Styela clava: one gene and its partner. The protein of the gene in region 1 interacts with the protein of each later gene in a biochemical or structural test. Links are inferred from orthologs where the notes say so. Each region holds a gene or a part of one and is shown on either strand. Other genes may lie near its edges.

The links. The genes of interacting proteins can lie anywhere in the genome.
Region 2: the proteins of PRKCA-binding protein-like (region 1) and metabotropic glutamate receptor 7-like form a complex in vitro, tested with the Homo sapiens proteins (2 studies listed by BioGRID, with this or other methods). The link is inferred for Styela clava from reciprocal best matches to the Homo sapiens genes PICK1 and GRM7.

What each region holds. Positions count from the first base shown.
Region 1 is NC_135258.1:21,925,696-21,933,303, forward strand, and holds PRKCA-binding protein-like, read left to right. Parts: upstream 1-4,664; 5' UTR 4,665-5,144; coding exon 5,145-6,311; 3' UTR 6,312-7,089; downstream 7,090-7,608. Other genes in the region: DNA/RNA-binding protein KIN17-like, read left to right, coding at 7,133-7,252, 7,455-7,608. UniProt on the Homo sapiens protein: Probable adapter protein that bind to and organize the subcellular localization of a variety of membrane proteins containing some PDZ recognition sequence.
Region 2 is NC_135259.1:13,246,280-13,253,475, reverse strand, and holds the start of metabotropic glutamate receptor 7-like, read right to left. Parts: upstream 3,001-7,196; 5' UTR 2,781-3,000; coding exon 2,729-2,780; intron 1,254-2,728; coding exon 1,207-1,253; intron 737-1,206; coding exon 587-736; intron 1-586. UniProt on the Homo sapiens protein: G-protein coupled receptor activated by glutamate that regulates axon outgrowth through the MAPK-cAMP-PKA signaling pathway during neuronal development.

The DNA of each region.
Region 1 (7,608 bases):
TAAACTGTATATGTGACTCGTTGAAACTGAGATTCGAATGATTCAGAGTGAATAATTATTCACAAACCAGTAATCATACCTGAACTCCCAACTGTTTATGTCGCACAAAGACAGGCAATAGTTGTGGTAAATTAACATTTGCCTTATGGGAATTTATTTTCTTATATTGGTTTGTTTACATGTAACTGTAGCCTAATTCCTTCACGAATTTATGGTAAATTTGGAGTTCGGTACTACCGTAGTATGTGTACCAGATTAGGGTTAGGCCATAATTTTATGCCGATTTTCCTTATTTTAGTTCCATTACGAGTTCGGGGACTGTTTATGTTAGCCTATAGCATAAATAATGGGTAAATTCTGTTTGATTTTATTCTCAGATTTCCACGATACACAGAATATAAATCTTATAACATTTATCCAGACTAGCTTAGAATGGTTTACATCGTCTTCTCTCTCCTATCGAAAGATATCGGAGTCGTATTTATACGTTGATCATAAATCCAATTAAATGCTGTAAACGTGAGCTCGTGATTCACGTTATAAACAGAAATTCCTATTATCTCAACAAGGGTAATTAGGTACATCGTACGGATGGGAACTTAGATATAATTATTTCAATCAGTGCCAAAGGTCTTGAGAATATAGATTTTAATTTGATAATGACTGGATGGAACCTGTTATGTTCTTAAAACTGGTGTAATTTGATTCCTACGAAAGTCTTGGTTCGAATTTTGAGAAAAATTAACTTTGTTTTCATATTTTTAACATGAAATGGGGTACATTTGGGGGTTAGTTGCTATATTATCTCCCCATCTTACTAACTGGAAGTTTCAAGATTTGGCAACTCTAATAAATTGAAAATATATAGAAAAATACAATACACAATGCTAAAATTAATGATATAGGTCAAAAAAAATATTTACATGTATATGATCTACAATGAGACAAGACATTGAAGTAAAGAAGAGTTTATAGAAAGAGTAAAGGCTGTAATGTAGAATTACAGAAAGATGGCGTATTTATATTTGAAAAATTTTGGTTTGGACGGTTAAAACATATTTTCAATTCAATGTATTTCGCTAAGTTAAAATGCTTATACTCGCTTTATCGCATTGTTACGATTTAGTAGACCTAGTTGGTCAATATATGCTTGTCCCATGTCGGGAAGAAAAAACGCATTTTTAAGTTTATGCCATCTCAGGGCTTTTTTGAAAAAATAACGCTTTTGGATACAATTTTTGTTTAACGAGCTTATTATTTAACCGTTCTATATGACGGCTTTGTAAATAATTAAAAGTATGACTCGCTCGAATCTACTTTTAGAAAGCATTTTAATCCCAATGAAATCTATTAATCGAAAAAGGAATGCTAACCGCAAATTTTCAATAATATAAATATTTTGAAAGGTATTTGAAATCAGAATATTCAAAGTTGTTACCATTAATTAATTTATAAAAATTAAAAGTCGAATGAAACGCCATGTATATATAAGAAAAAGAAGTACGGTACTTTACCTTAGTATTAGTGGAAGAATGAAAAATGTCTGTCTCAATGAGAAGAAAAACCTGAAAATCATGAAACAAATTGTAGAATGACATGCTCCTGATCTGTATATCGATTGGGTACGCGCGACAATTTCTCTATTGTTCGGAATAGAGCGCGTAATTTACCGTAAAACAGTCCATATATTGTTCATTGTTTTAAACAGTTCGTTTTTTGATTAGGTTTTTCACCTCGAACATATATCATGTTCTAAAAGAGTTCATTTCGATCGATGTTCAATACAGTCCATATTCATAATTTTAACGTTTCCAGAGTCCGTCACTATAGTTTAACAGTTTTCAATTGAGTTTATTGTCGTTTCATAATGTTCTTGATTATTTTGGCTTGATAGCAATTTGATACTTCAATTGTTGTTCCAGGCAATTTGAATCTCCCCGACATTCGTAAGTTCGCACGTTTTGTATAGACGGTTTCTCGGCAATTGTTGAAAGCTTTCGCTTGGTCAGCTTTTTGGTTGATTCCGTCAAATTGTTGCCTGTCCTGATTGTTGTCCGTACTTGTGGTTGAAATCCGTTGATCTGGTTCGTTTCAGATGGTTAATTCAAGTCGGTTTTGTCACCATTTATAGTATATAGGGTAGATTCTATTTGATTTTATTCTCAGATTTCCACGATACACAGAATATAAATCTTATAACATTTATCCAGACTAGCTTAGAATGGTTTACATCGTCTTCTCTCTCCTATCGAAAGATATCGGAGTCGTATTTATACGTTGATCATAAATCCAATTAAATGCTGTAAACGTGAGCTCGTGATTCACGTTATAAACAGAAATTCCTATTATCTCAACAAGGGTAATTAGGTACATCGTACGGATGGGAACTTAGATATAATTATTTCAATCAGTGCCAAAGGTCTTGAGAATATAGATTTTAATTTGATAATGACTGGATGGAACCTGTTATGTTCTTAAAACTGGTGTAATTTGATTCCTACGAAAGTCTTGGTTCGAATTTTGAGAAAAATTAACTTTGTTTTCATATTTTTAACATGAAATGGGGTACATTTGGGGGTTAGTTGCTATAAGCCAACTGAATGAAATGAACCCTGCCCATAGGCTTCCATCCCTTTACACAACTTGATGTAAAGTAGGCGAACAAAATTAGTTACCTCCATACATGAGCATGCCAAACTTTTCTGCTGCCCGGGGCGAGTTTCTGATAATACTTTTAAAAGTCAATGATCAACCAAAATATTTCATATATATATATGCTTTCATAAAATTCCATAAGCAAATTAGGACGGCTCATCCATTAGCCAACGTCATGAATATTTTACATTGTAACAAAGCTGAAAAATATCAGACGGTTGTTTGTCATGTTGGAAAGGCTAAAGTAGAAAAAAGACAAAACTAAAATGGTGAAATTTTAGTTTCAAACTCCCAAAACCAACCTCATCTCATAGTTTGCGTCGCTATACACTACCGTTGTCCGTTTGCGGGGACGTTGTAACTCACCGAAGGGCTGATTCAAACATCGAACCGCAGACCTGATTCCAAATATAATAAGAGTGTGAGAGCTGGTTGCCCCACGGTGGCCCACCTTTCCCTACTTAACTTTTAAAAAATGTTTCGGTGTATAAAGAGATTATAGACGTCGTTACACGTGAGAATAAATAAATTGAAGGTCAGGTAAGACAGAAACGTTCGTTTTATTAAACAAATCATCAAACTAAGCAAAAAACTCACTGTATAAAATCGAACTCATTTATTAACAAAAAGCAAGTCACTTATTTCTATGTGCAATCGCTACTTTGCTGTCAACAAATGTCTGAATGAAAGACTCTTTCGAATTTCGGTACTAATCAAAGATAAACTTGACATCGAATACCTCGAATATATATATATATTTTTATCAGAACTTTGAGAAAGATCGCGTGCAACTATCAATTGAGTATAGCCAATTGTGAGTAATACACATTATGCAATGCACAAAGTTGGAAAATCATCCCAGCCAAGCTCAACCAATGAATCAAGAAAATCTTTAGCATTTTTTGAAAAATCCGTTTACACTCCGACGTAGCAGTGAACGTTTTAGAAGTCACACAGACAGGTGCATTCATATTATTAGGTGAGTGAACACATAACATTGGCAAGACCCTCCAATTAATATCCTGCACACCTTGGGCAGACTGAAACAACTGGATTTTTGACGTGAAATGGAACACTGTGAATCACAGTGTGATGAACAAATTGGTGTTGACGGTCACTGATGATCAAGTTCGGCTGCAGTATGAAACAGATCATTCACAAGGTGTAAAGAGAATAAAGAAAATTTATGGAAAGGTATTGCGGATAATGTTTTTTTAAAGGGATCAACATACAAACATTCAACGACCGTACATGACATTCGGCTGCTACGGGATGGGGCAAAATAAACATTTAATAATTAACAGCGTATTGCTGACATATAGGCTACGGTACATATTGAATTGGCCATTATTACTGTAATAGATTAGGTGTTTCAAAAGTATAACAGCCCGGAAGTTCCTATACATTCGAGTATCTTTTGTTTGATTATTTCTGGCCTAAGCCTTGTTTTAACTAGGCTTGTGTTTTTTGTAATTTATTTTTGTGTATGTGCTGGTGGGAGGGCACATGATATTTCGCATGTTTTGAACTTTTTTAAATGTTTCGCTCACCCTCCAGAATTCTCCATTTTAAATTTGTGTATATTGTGGAGTATTCGAATAAACTATCTATCTATATAACTGCAAATATATGTGCTTGGACCTCAGGTACTGCTGTGCGAGAAGATTTCTGGACTCCACGCCGACGTAGGGTGGTTTACGTAACCGCTGGTCGATTACGGTTTTCCGGACGAGAAGCCGTGGCCATATGATTATAGGCTTTCTTGCCCCCTGAATAAATATGTAAATTGCAAATCCTGCCCTTTCCCGAACGAGGGCATGATTTCCTGTCGTCATGGTTGATTAAACATGATTGACGGAGCTGGCTTTTGTTGACGTCATTCGTTCGATGTGCAGCTGAAGTGTTAGCTAATCCCAATTATTCCTCCTTAAAAACATAGTACGGTAGGTCTGCGATGGTTAGCCTACTCGTTATCATTTGCATTCTTTAAAATCACGTACTAATGCAGTATTGTTTGCGAACATAAATTTATGCAATACAGTAATAAGTATCGTAAATATAACTGAGTTTACACCTTGTAACAGAAATAAATATTCTCTAATATATTATGAAGTTGAAGCATCAATCTGTCAATTCAATGTTTTCTTCTACTAACTTTACTCATTCTTCAAGTTCATTATTGTTATTTAATCACAATTTGTACTGTACGGTAGTTCTTCCAAATTTAAAAAAAGTTAATGATAATGTGATTTTGTACCATACTAAACAGAATCGGTTTCGGAAATATTCGCTTAGAAAATAAAATATTTGAAACTCAGATCCCCAGCCTGCCAGTGGTGACTGCTTATGGTTTCTGCCCTTCGATTAGTGCGGTAGGATTTTTGATTTTGTTGAATTATCTAATTATTCATTTCTAGAATTTGAGAAAACAGTTGTAAACGAAATACTGACCGATATCCATACTACCAATTTGTCTATTCAATGCCCAGATGTCTCACGCCATGGAAGAATGGGGAATAGAAGAGGATAAGATGGGAATGACCACTGTTTCTGGTACAGTCAAGCTCATGAAAGATAAGCAAAATTTGATTGGAATAAGCATTGGCGGAGGTGCACCCTTATGTCCATGTCTTTATATTGTACAAGTATTCGATAATACACCAGCTGCAAAGGATGGATCTTTGGCTGCAGGTGATGAAATTGTTGCTGTAAATAGCAAATCAGTCAAAGGGCTATCAAAGGTTCAGTTGGCTAAAACAATACAAAGCATAAAGGGTGAAGTCCGAATCAACTTTAATAAACTACATGCAGATCCTAAACAAGGCAAAACATTGGATATTGTTCTGAAAAAGATAAAGCACCGAATTGTTGAACAAATGGATTCAAGTACAGCAGATGCACTTGGATTAAGTCGTGCAATTTTATGCAATGATGTTTTGATTAAGAGACTTCAGGAAATGGAACAGATTGGTGGAGTATATCTTGGGCTCATTGTTCACATAAAGAAACTTCTAAAATCTTATTTTAATTTGTGTAAAACTCACCGTGCATTCGGAGATATTTTTGGTGAGATTGGTGTACGTGATCCAAACTTTAACGGAGGTGAGGCTTTCGGGAAGTTTAGCGAAGCTCATCGTAATTTTGAAAAGTCTGGCTTCACTTTGATGACAACTTTAAAACCAATGTTGAATGATTTGAATACATATCTCAACAAAGCTATTCCGGATACGAAAATGACAATCAGGCGCTATGCAGACACAAAATTTGAGTACTTGTCGTTTTGTCTCAAGGTGAAGGAAATGGATGACGAGGAATATAGTTATGCTGCATTACAGGAACCACTTTATCGCGTTGAAACAGGAAATTATGAATATCGCTTAGTTTTGCGATGTCGCCAAGATGCTCGAGAGCGGTTTGCCAAACTTCGAAAAGATGTTATGGAAAAGCTAGAATTACTGGACAACAAACATGTACAAGATATCGTCCATCAGCTGCAAAGATTTGTTGCTGCTATTTCAAAGTATCATGATGACTGTCAAGCAAGTATGAAACAAGCTGATGTATTTCCAGTAGAAGTTGACTTGTCGAGTGCAACGTTCGAATATGATAAAAAAGACCGATTCCACGATCCGGAATATGAAGAGACTTTAGAATGAAAACGATGTTAATTGTCAACAATTCTAGTGCATATTACAGGTCAATTTGACCGGAATATCAAAAAAACAAAGGAAGTACTCCCTGTGTAAAATCTGAGAATTTTTATTAGGACCGTTTTGTAGTTTTGTCTGCTAATTCTTCGTATCCATATAGATTGGACCTCAAACTATTTATTCTATTGAAGCAATAACCTTTTTCAATTTACATGTGCATTTAATGTGAATTTTTGCTTTTTATTTCATCTGCTATCTTTGCGTAGAATTTTACTGCATAAGATAGTTTTGGAAGTTTTCTTTTATTGAATATATAAATTATGAAATGTAAAACAATGTGTCTTCAATATTGTGCTCATTTTGTCTGAAGTTTTCATTTTTTTGAATGTGTCTGATTAAAATTTTGTTGCCAAATGGTATGTATACTTTAAGAAGAGATTTTGTTATTTCATTTAAACTAGTACTGTTAAATCAAATGGTGAATTATGTTCATTTTATACATCAAACGCAGTGTGATGTTTCACTCTGTATGATTAATTTCAAAATATTAAATGAATAATACTTGAAATTCATGGCTGCTTTAATCGTTTTTGTCAATATAAATCAAATCCCGATACATAGTAATGATTCTAATGAAGATGAATTGTGCTGAACGATGAATTGCATGCTAAGTTCTATGTTTTCCCATTTATTGTGCATGTATTGTATGGTTGGTGATTATGTGCAATTACTTGTCCTTGATTAAGATATAAGATGCTGTAAATTGTATGTTGTTTTCTTTTAGTATTTTATTAACTTACTAATTAATACTGCACCTATTATTTATAATGGGAAAAGAAAAAGGTGGATTTTTAACTCCCAAGGCTATCGCAAATCGCATTAAATCGAAAGGTTTGCAAAAATTACGATGGTATTGTCAAATGTGCCAGAAGCAATGCAGAGATGAGGTAGGTTTCAAAAAATATGTCTTAAATATATTCTTTTCATACTATTATCTCTCTATCCACTTTTTCTATTTGCTTTGCCATGACATCAGACTTTGAACCTACATCTAATGAGTTAGTTCTAACTAATAAGCTATTCTAATATGCCATCCTAACATAACTAGTAGCTCAAAACTCTGAATAACATGATATATTGTCATGACAGAATGGTTTCAAATGTCATTGCATGTCAGAATCTCATCAAAGACAACTATTGCTGGTTGCAGAGAAACCAGGTGCCTTCAATGACCATTTTTCAAATGAATTTTTGAAAGAGTTTATGGAGTTATTGAAGCGTCGTTTCAACACTAGAAGAGTTC
Region 2 (7,196 bases), on another chromosome or scaffold:
GACAAAACGGCGTTTCAAAGAACCACGACCGCACTTCTGAGGCGTGTAACAAGGTTAAACTCGAGATAACACGCTGCTGATATCACGATAAAAATAATCAGGTTGAAAATGAAAAAAAAAGATGTCAAAAGATGGATTATTATACAGAAACTATTGTTGTCAAAATCAAACGGTTTCAAATTTGAATTGCAAAATGTGCTCTATGTATACGAAGCGGTATAAAAACGTACAGAAAAAAAGCAACGTTTGACGTGCAACTTTGCTCGAAAACGTCTTTGAAACAACACCGAGTATTATACAGAGGTGAATCTGTATGTTAAACAGAATTTAAACTACAAGATACCGTCTTAAATGCTATTAATAAAGGGCGGAACAAATACTAATATATAAATATTAGTAATGAGAATTACAATTTAGAATTCTGACGGCATTTTAAAAAATACCATTCGACTAAAATAATGTTTTTTAGCGTTTTCAATAAAACCAAATCTTCTGGCAAAATAAATTATGATGATTATCCTCTAAGCTGGTTTTTAACGTGATTTTTAACAAATATTGAGTAATTTTTTTTACAAAGAACACATACCTCGTCAATAATCATGTTCATTGTTTCTACCAGATACATTCCTGTCAATTCTTCTACACAATCTCCATTGGCATTTTCATTCGTGACTTGCATTGCAGCGCCGAGTATAATATCGCCATCTCTAAATTGCATTGGTGCACCAGATCGTGACTGAAAGAAAATTAAAAATTTGGTTATTGTGGATGGAATCATAGTTTATCGGAGGAGAAATGTACATATGGATCATTTGCTAAATTGTTGTTGTTATCCGTTGTTGTTGTTGTTTTGAAAACCACTTCTCACGGCGACTACAGAACCAACTGATTCAAAATTTTTAGTCTTTAGAGATGAAAGAAGTCGCTAGAAAGCTATCACTTTTATGTTTTCCTACGGGTTTTCACCCATTTCAACCATACTTTTGCCGTTTCATTTCAATTATATGGCAAATGGAAAAACTTTTATGATACATTTAACCTTTAACCCTGTTCGTTAACCTCATTTTATTTTAGATATTTTGCGCTGTCCCACCTATCTTTTATTCTATAAGTCATGTATACAAACCAATATATCCTATACCAATATCGCTGGGATTAATGATGGCAATAAAACTTTGTAAATATTGTAAATAAATATAAGCTCACCTGCTTCATGTGCTGGCTTCCAATCAGATGTTCAGCGCTTTGGCTCGCTGTAAATAAAAGTAACGTTCAAGAATTACATAATTACTCCTAATCTAAACATTTAATCAGTCATGTACAATATGAATCAGTCAAGATCTATTTTACTGTACATTTGTCTCTACTCTGTTAATCATAAACCATGCATGGGCATGTCATAATGAAACGCTCTTCCTCATTTACTTGGCAAGCTTGTTTAAACAAACAGTGGATGACGTTGTGTAATTTATCTACGCGATATGTACGGATCAGTCTTGATTGTATGAATAATTAGTCCATTATATAAACAGCAAAGTTATTCAACTTCGTCGTGGATTGGTGATTATAACAACCGTATGAAACATAGTTGCTCGGAGCTATAGTTATAAACTTTTACATTGAATGAAGTTTTATAGTATAAGTGAGGTTTCGTTCTTGCTGAAAACAGCACAAAAGATTAATGGTATGTTGGTATATATAGTTTGGTAACAAATGGCTGAGAGAATAAACACGATTTTGTTTATGTACAGTTGTACGCACAGTGCTATCATCTTCAGATGTCAGTAAATTTGCAAATTTTATTACAGTATATAAACACATATTGTATTTGTTATTTTTTCTACGCATACTACATAAACTACATCTCATTTGCTTATACATTAAATGATTAAACTTTAATGATTAATGATTAAAGAATATTCTATTAATCATAGCGTGTTTTCCAGATATTTCTATTTTTAGTATGTAAAAAGGTTAGAAACAGAACATTTTTGCGTATGGAGTTTAAAGAAAGAGCATTATAAAATACATTAGCTTGTAGCAAATGTTTAAGTTTATCAATCAGAGCAATGTAGTATGAGTATCTTTCTTATAAACGTAGTCATTGTGATCGACAAAGAGGATGAAATTTTTATATTTATCTGGGTACTCTCGTCTCAATACATTTTAGGTTGAGTATGGGTACAGTTTGCTAGTTACTTGTTTTATATGTATGGACTATGGTGGTAGAAGAAGCCGCGGTTGAGTGAACCATTCTAAAACGGCATTGGGACCTATACGAACCGCGCAAGGTAATCATCGGTTCGGTGATCATATCTCAGCGATCTGTTGGTCAGACCAACGGTACCGTAAAAGATTTATTACTACATCGTTTTGGCCTTTGTGTTCATATGTTTGAGCACGATTCTTTTGTTTTAAGTATGTTTGCATTTTAGTTAGTAATCTGAATTTTTTTTGCTTATTCAAGTAGAGCAGAATAGACCGCGCTCGTTGCTAAATAGTATTAATACTATTCAATTATTTGTGGTATATAAGTATTGCCTCGCTGTTGAGAATACTATCATATTATTCCAAAATTGAATAATTGATTGTTATCTTGGGAATACGTAATACGCATCTTCAAATATTCACACACAAATATGACATTTCGACACAAACCGTTTTGTTTCCTAACCCGATAACAGCGAGTTTGGGCACATTAGCTTAAAATAAAAAAAAATTGACTCACCTACAAAGACAAAACAAAACAATGTCCGTGATAAAACTGACATAATTGACATTTCTGCAGTCAAATAATTTGCCAATTCAATAATTCCTCCTTTTTGTTCATTTGCAGTCTACTCAGTTACAACCTACAGTTTGTATCATTTATAATTGATGTCGTAAAATTTTGAAGCTTGTGCGTTGATAATCTGTTTCCCAGTAATCATGTCGTTTTCGCATAATTTATTTTTGAATAATAATACTTTAAACTTTGACAACAACGAACAAAATAAAAATATATTCACTGAATTGGATTTTATGCATGTTTACTATTACTTTGAAACACGTATTTTGCGAAAAAGGTAAAATTTACCATAGATCATAGCTATCATTCATTATCAGCGAACAACATTCTGAGAACAACAACTAATTTTTCAGCTTGGGTTGACAATTGCTAATGAATTAGCGAGCTCGTCAAATTTGAGTGACATTAATAATATTATTAACCAATATTCAGTTTGTTGTATATCTGAGTTACATCGACTCAATAGCCATAATTCGTAATTATAGTGCGTTACTATGCTAAACTTCAACATTTTAAAAATTTGCACAACTTATCACCGCCATCATTTTCACAAAAATAATGTGAGAGATCAATTTTTCGTTTCAGATGAACGAACTTTGTGATAGATTGATTGCGCGCTAAAAGGTTGCTAAAGTTGACAAAAAGGAAAAATGGGCATGTGCAAATCGACAATATTGCCTTAAATTTTCTTGTCTTTCTACAGACATTTTCACTAAATGATCAGGGCAGTCGAATATATTTTGACATAATTACTAAATAAATGCTCAGTTGCGTGTGTTGCTGAATATTTTGAGTCACTGACTCTTCCATATCCGTATGTTCATTAATAATTTCAAATTTTGATCGCACAAAAGTGTGTTTCCGCATAAAAATATTATTTCTATATTTTCATTATATAGTAATCTATGCGTCACTCATTTTAATCCTGCTAAAAAATAATATACAGTAGTAGTTGCACTCATGACCTGACTGAATATATTTATTTTTAACCTGCATCTGAATTCCAGTCTGCATTTAATGTATAATGGTTTGAGGGCCTTCCAGGTAAAAACAACGCGATGCAAGAGACCGAATCGGGTTACGTCTATCTAGCACTATCAAAGCGCTCGTAAAGTTTACCAAAAATTCAAATCTCTACAAAATAGTAAACTTTCTAGTATAGATGTCTGAATTTAAATTCTCGACTTCCCTATACTGATCAGAGACAGTTCAACTTCGTTTAACAATATTTTTCATACGATTTCAAAATGTTTTCGTATCTTAACTCCCTGAGGATATTAATGTATTTTGACTTGGGGCAATTGACTTCCGTATACTTGGAAGTCATCATTGCTAGGTAATTCTATCTTTCGTGGGCATTCTATCAGAAAGTAATTTTCTCTCAACAGTTCTGGTTTGAACATCGACGAAAAGACCATGGCCTGATATTTGAGAGATATACCAACTCCTTTAAGGTAATTGTCAAATTGACTCAATTTTACGATAAAAATATTTTATTTGTTTTCATAGGAAAAGTTAAAAGTAAACTCTTACAGTAGCGAAAATATTGAGTGAAATATTGTATACAAATTTAGTCATCAGGCGAAAGAATATCTCGATCTATATCCAAAGATATCTAATCCAGATCCCATGCATAGAAAACAATTATCTGGTTAATGATATCATAACTGGACTGCTAGAAAGAAGCGTTGAAGACCGTTGTTCGTCTTATACAAGGGGTCATCTGATTGAAATGATTACTTTTTCCGACAACATATAAAAGTTATATTTAGAATCCCAATTTTAAATAATCATTGCTTATCGGGCAAACAGGTTACGAGTGAAATTTAATTAATTATTATCTCTAATGCTTCAAAACATATTCAAGATATATCCTCATAAAGTTTCCTCCATCTTTTTAACAATTTGACTTCGTATACAGAAATTAATTTTCAATTAATGAATAAATCGTAATGATTAATTAAAATCAAAACTATCGTCTTCATATATTTGATTCGGCCGTCAGTTGTTTTACTTAATAATAGCATTTGCTGTAATGACGCGCTTCCGCTTTACTGCCCATTCAGACGCACGTTAGCAAGAATATCATGTAAAATATTACAAGCTAAAACTAATACAAAAAACTACCGGTCGAATTATTCTTGTTTCATTGCTTACAATTTATTACTCGCTTTCCTTCAAATAATCCGACTTGAATTTAAACTCATTTATTGAATCTCGCATTTTTTTTTAAATATTAGCGATATCTCAATTCCGTGGAAAAAAATCATAATAAGCATGGTATAAGTTTAAAATTCAGCAAAGGCTTTACCGAAGGCCCAAGTAAAACAATTTATCTGAGGGTATATAAAATAACGAGGCTAACTTGGTTTTTATTATTTATGCTACAAGCCCATATACAGTAAATCAAATTCTCATCTCTACATTATAACTACATACCGTCAACTTAAAAAATTGTATTATCATTTCCAGCTGAATATATAACTAGACAACGTTGCTTGCCAGTGAAGATTAAGATAATCAATTATTTATATTTTGTTAACTGTTCAAATGAGCAGCAGGCAATAAAGTTTATATACTCATCACACGTTTTAAAACCTTCCATATATATTTGCTTCTTGTATAATTTGTGAGTCATGGCGTTGCTCAATGCTTCATCAGGAGACTTCCATTTTTAGTTAACAAAATGTGTTAGATAAAGTTGCATTTATAGGTCATTTCTAAAGTAGTATACCACTTTGTTCGTTTATCAGTGCAAAGCAAATAGGATAATTTTTTGTAAGGTGGTGACAAATAATCATTCATTTACATAAGTAAAAATGAAATATTACAGTATCATTTTTATGTCATTGACTCAACAAATGTTATTGCTCCCGTTTGTCTTGAACAATCAGTACAACAGCGCCATATAACGACCAACTTTTTTATTACGTCAAATTCGTTCTTATTTATACCTTTTTGCCTGGATATTGCCATTCTTACCGTAATATGAACATTTGACTTTTGATCGTATTCGAGGATTTGAACTTCTGATCATATTTGTTAGTGAAATAAAAATATCTCCTTCTATCTAATTTTGTTTTATGAAAACTAAAACCGATGATTCTGGGGGAACATAAAATAAATTACAGAAGATGATATATATTTTTGGGTAAAAACTTGGTAAATTCTACTGTACCGCAATTATTGAAAAAACAAAACACTGTCATGTCCTGAATTTTAAACTGGTCGTTTGTTTCTTAAATTTGGAGGCCGAGTCAAGTGAAGCAAATGAGAAATTGGAATCAAAATGAACATCGTTCATATTCCATCTTGTTTGTAAAGAAGTCTTAGAGCGAATTATCGTTTTTACCTCAAATATAAACTATTCAATTCCACCGATATTAAGTGTAGAATGTACATATTTATGGATAAAAGGTTTTAGTGTGTCATAACAGTGAAATGTAGGAAATATAACGCAATTATTTATAAATTTATGATCAGTATATGAGGAAGAGTGATGTTTTATCGTGCATAAGAAAATACTGTATCAAAAATGCCATTTTGAAACAGCAAATGTTTATTTGTAACATATATTGTCATTTAGAAACGTTGTTGCATCGGGACAGCGTCCGAGACTTGCGTTTATACTTCAATTTTTGCCTGATATTCGCTACACGTAGCCTTATGTATTCCGCACGTTGAAGACATCACAAATGTGATCATGGGTGAAACGTTCCGCGTTGTCGATTTCAAATAAAATAAAATTCAAACCTGGGTTACGTAGTAACATGTCAATACCTAGCCAAAACATGTTGAACTAAATTGAGAAGGACCAAATCATGTTATGGTATATAGCGGGTTTCATTTTTGAACACGACCCAAGTCCAAACACGACACTACAACTAGTCAACTCAAAAACAGATTCGGACTCAGGAAATCACTTCAACCAATCATTTCTACTCGAGGTTGGGATGGTAATATTGTAAGATTTGGGTAATGCTAAATTTGGTTATTGTCTAAAAACTTGCAGCGCATACGAATCTTGAAACCTTGATTACGGCTTCCTCCGCCATAAAATCCATGCATCTAAAAACAAAAAATAACTGGCTAACTAATCCCATACACAACATAGACTGATAACAGGACGAGAGATCGTGGCTCATCAGATGATTGAGTCGTCTTAATTAACGGCTTTCCTCTCCCCGGGGATAAATATGTGAATCCAATGCTATCTATACTATTGAGCATACTTTAAATCAGGAACTTCTCTTATCTATAATAGTTGAGTTCCACACTTTTTTATATTTAATATTAAGTCCCCGCCCGTACACCGCCTCATGCACGCCCTGTAGTCGTACAGTAACAATTTCATGGGACTGCAGTTACTACATCCATATATGTATTTTCGCGTTTTCCGTTGAAACTA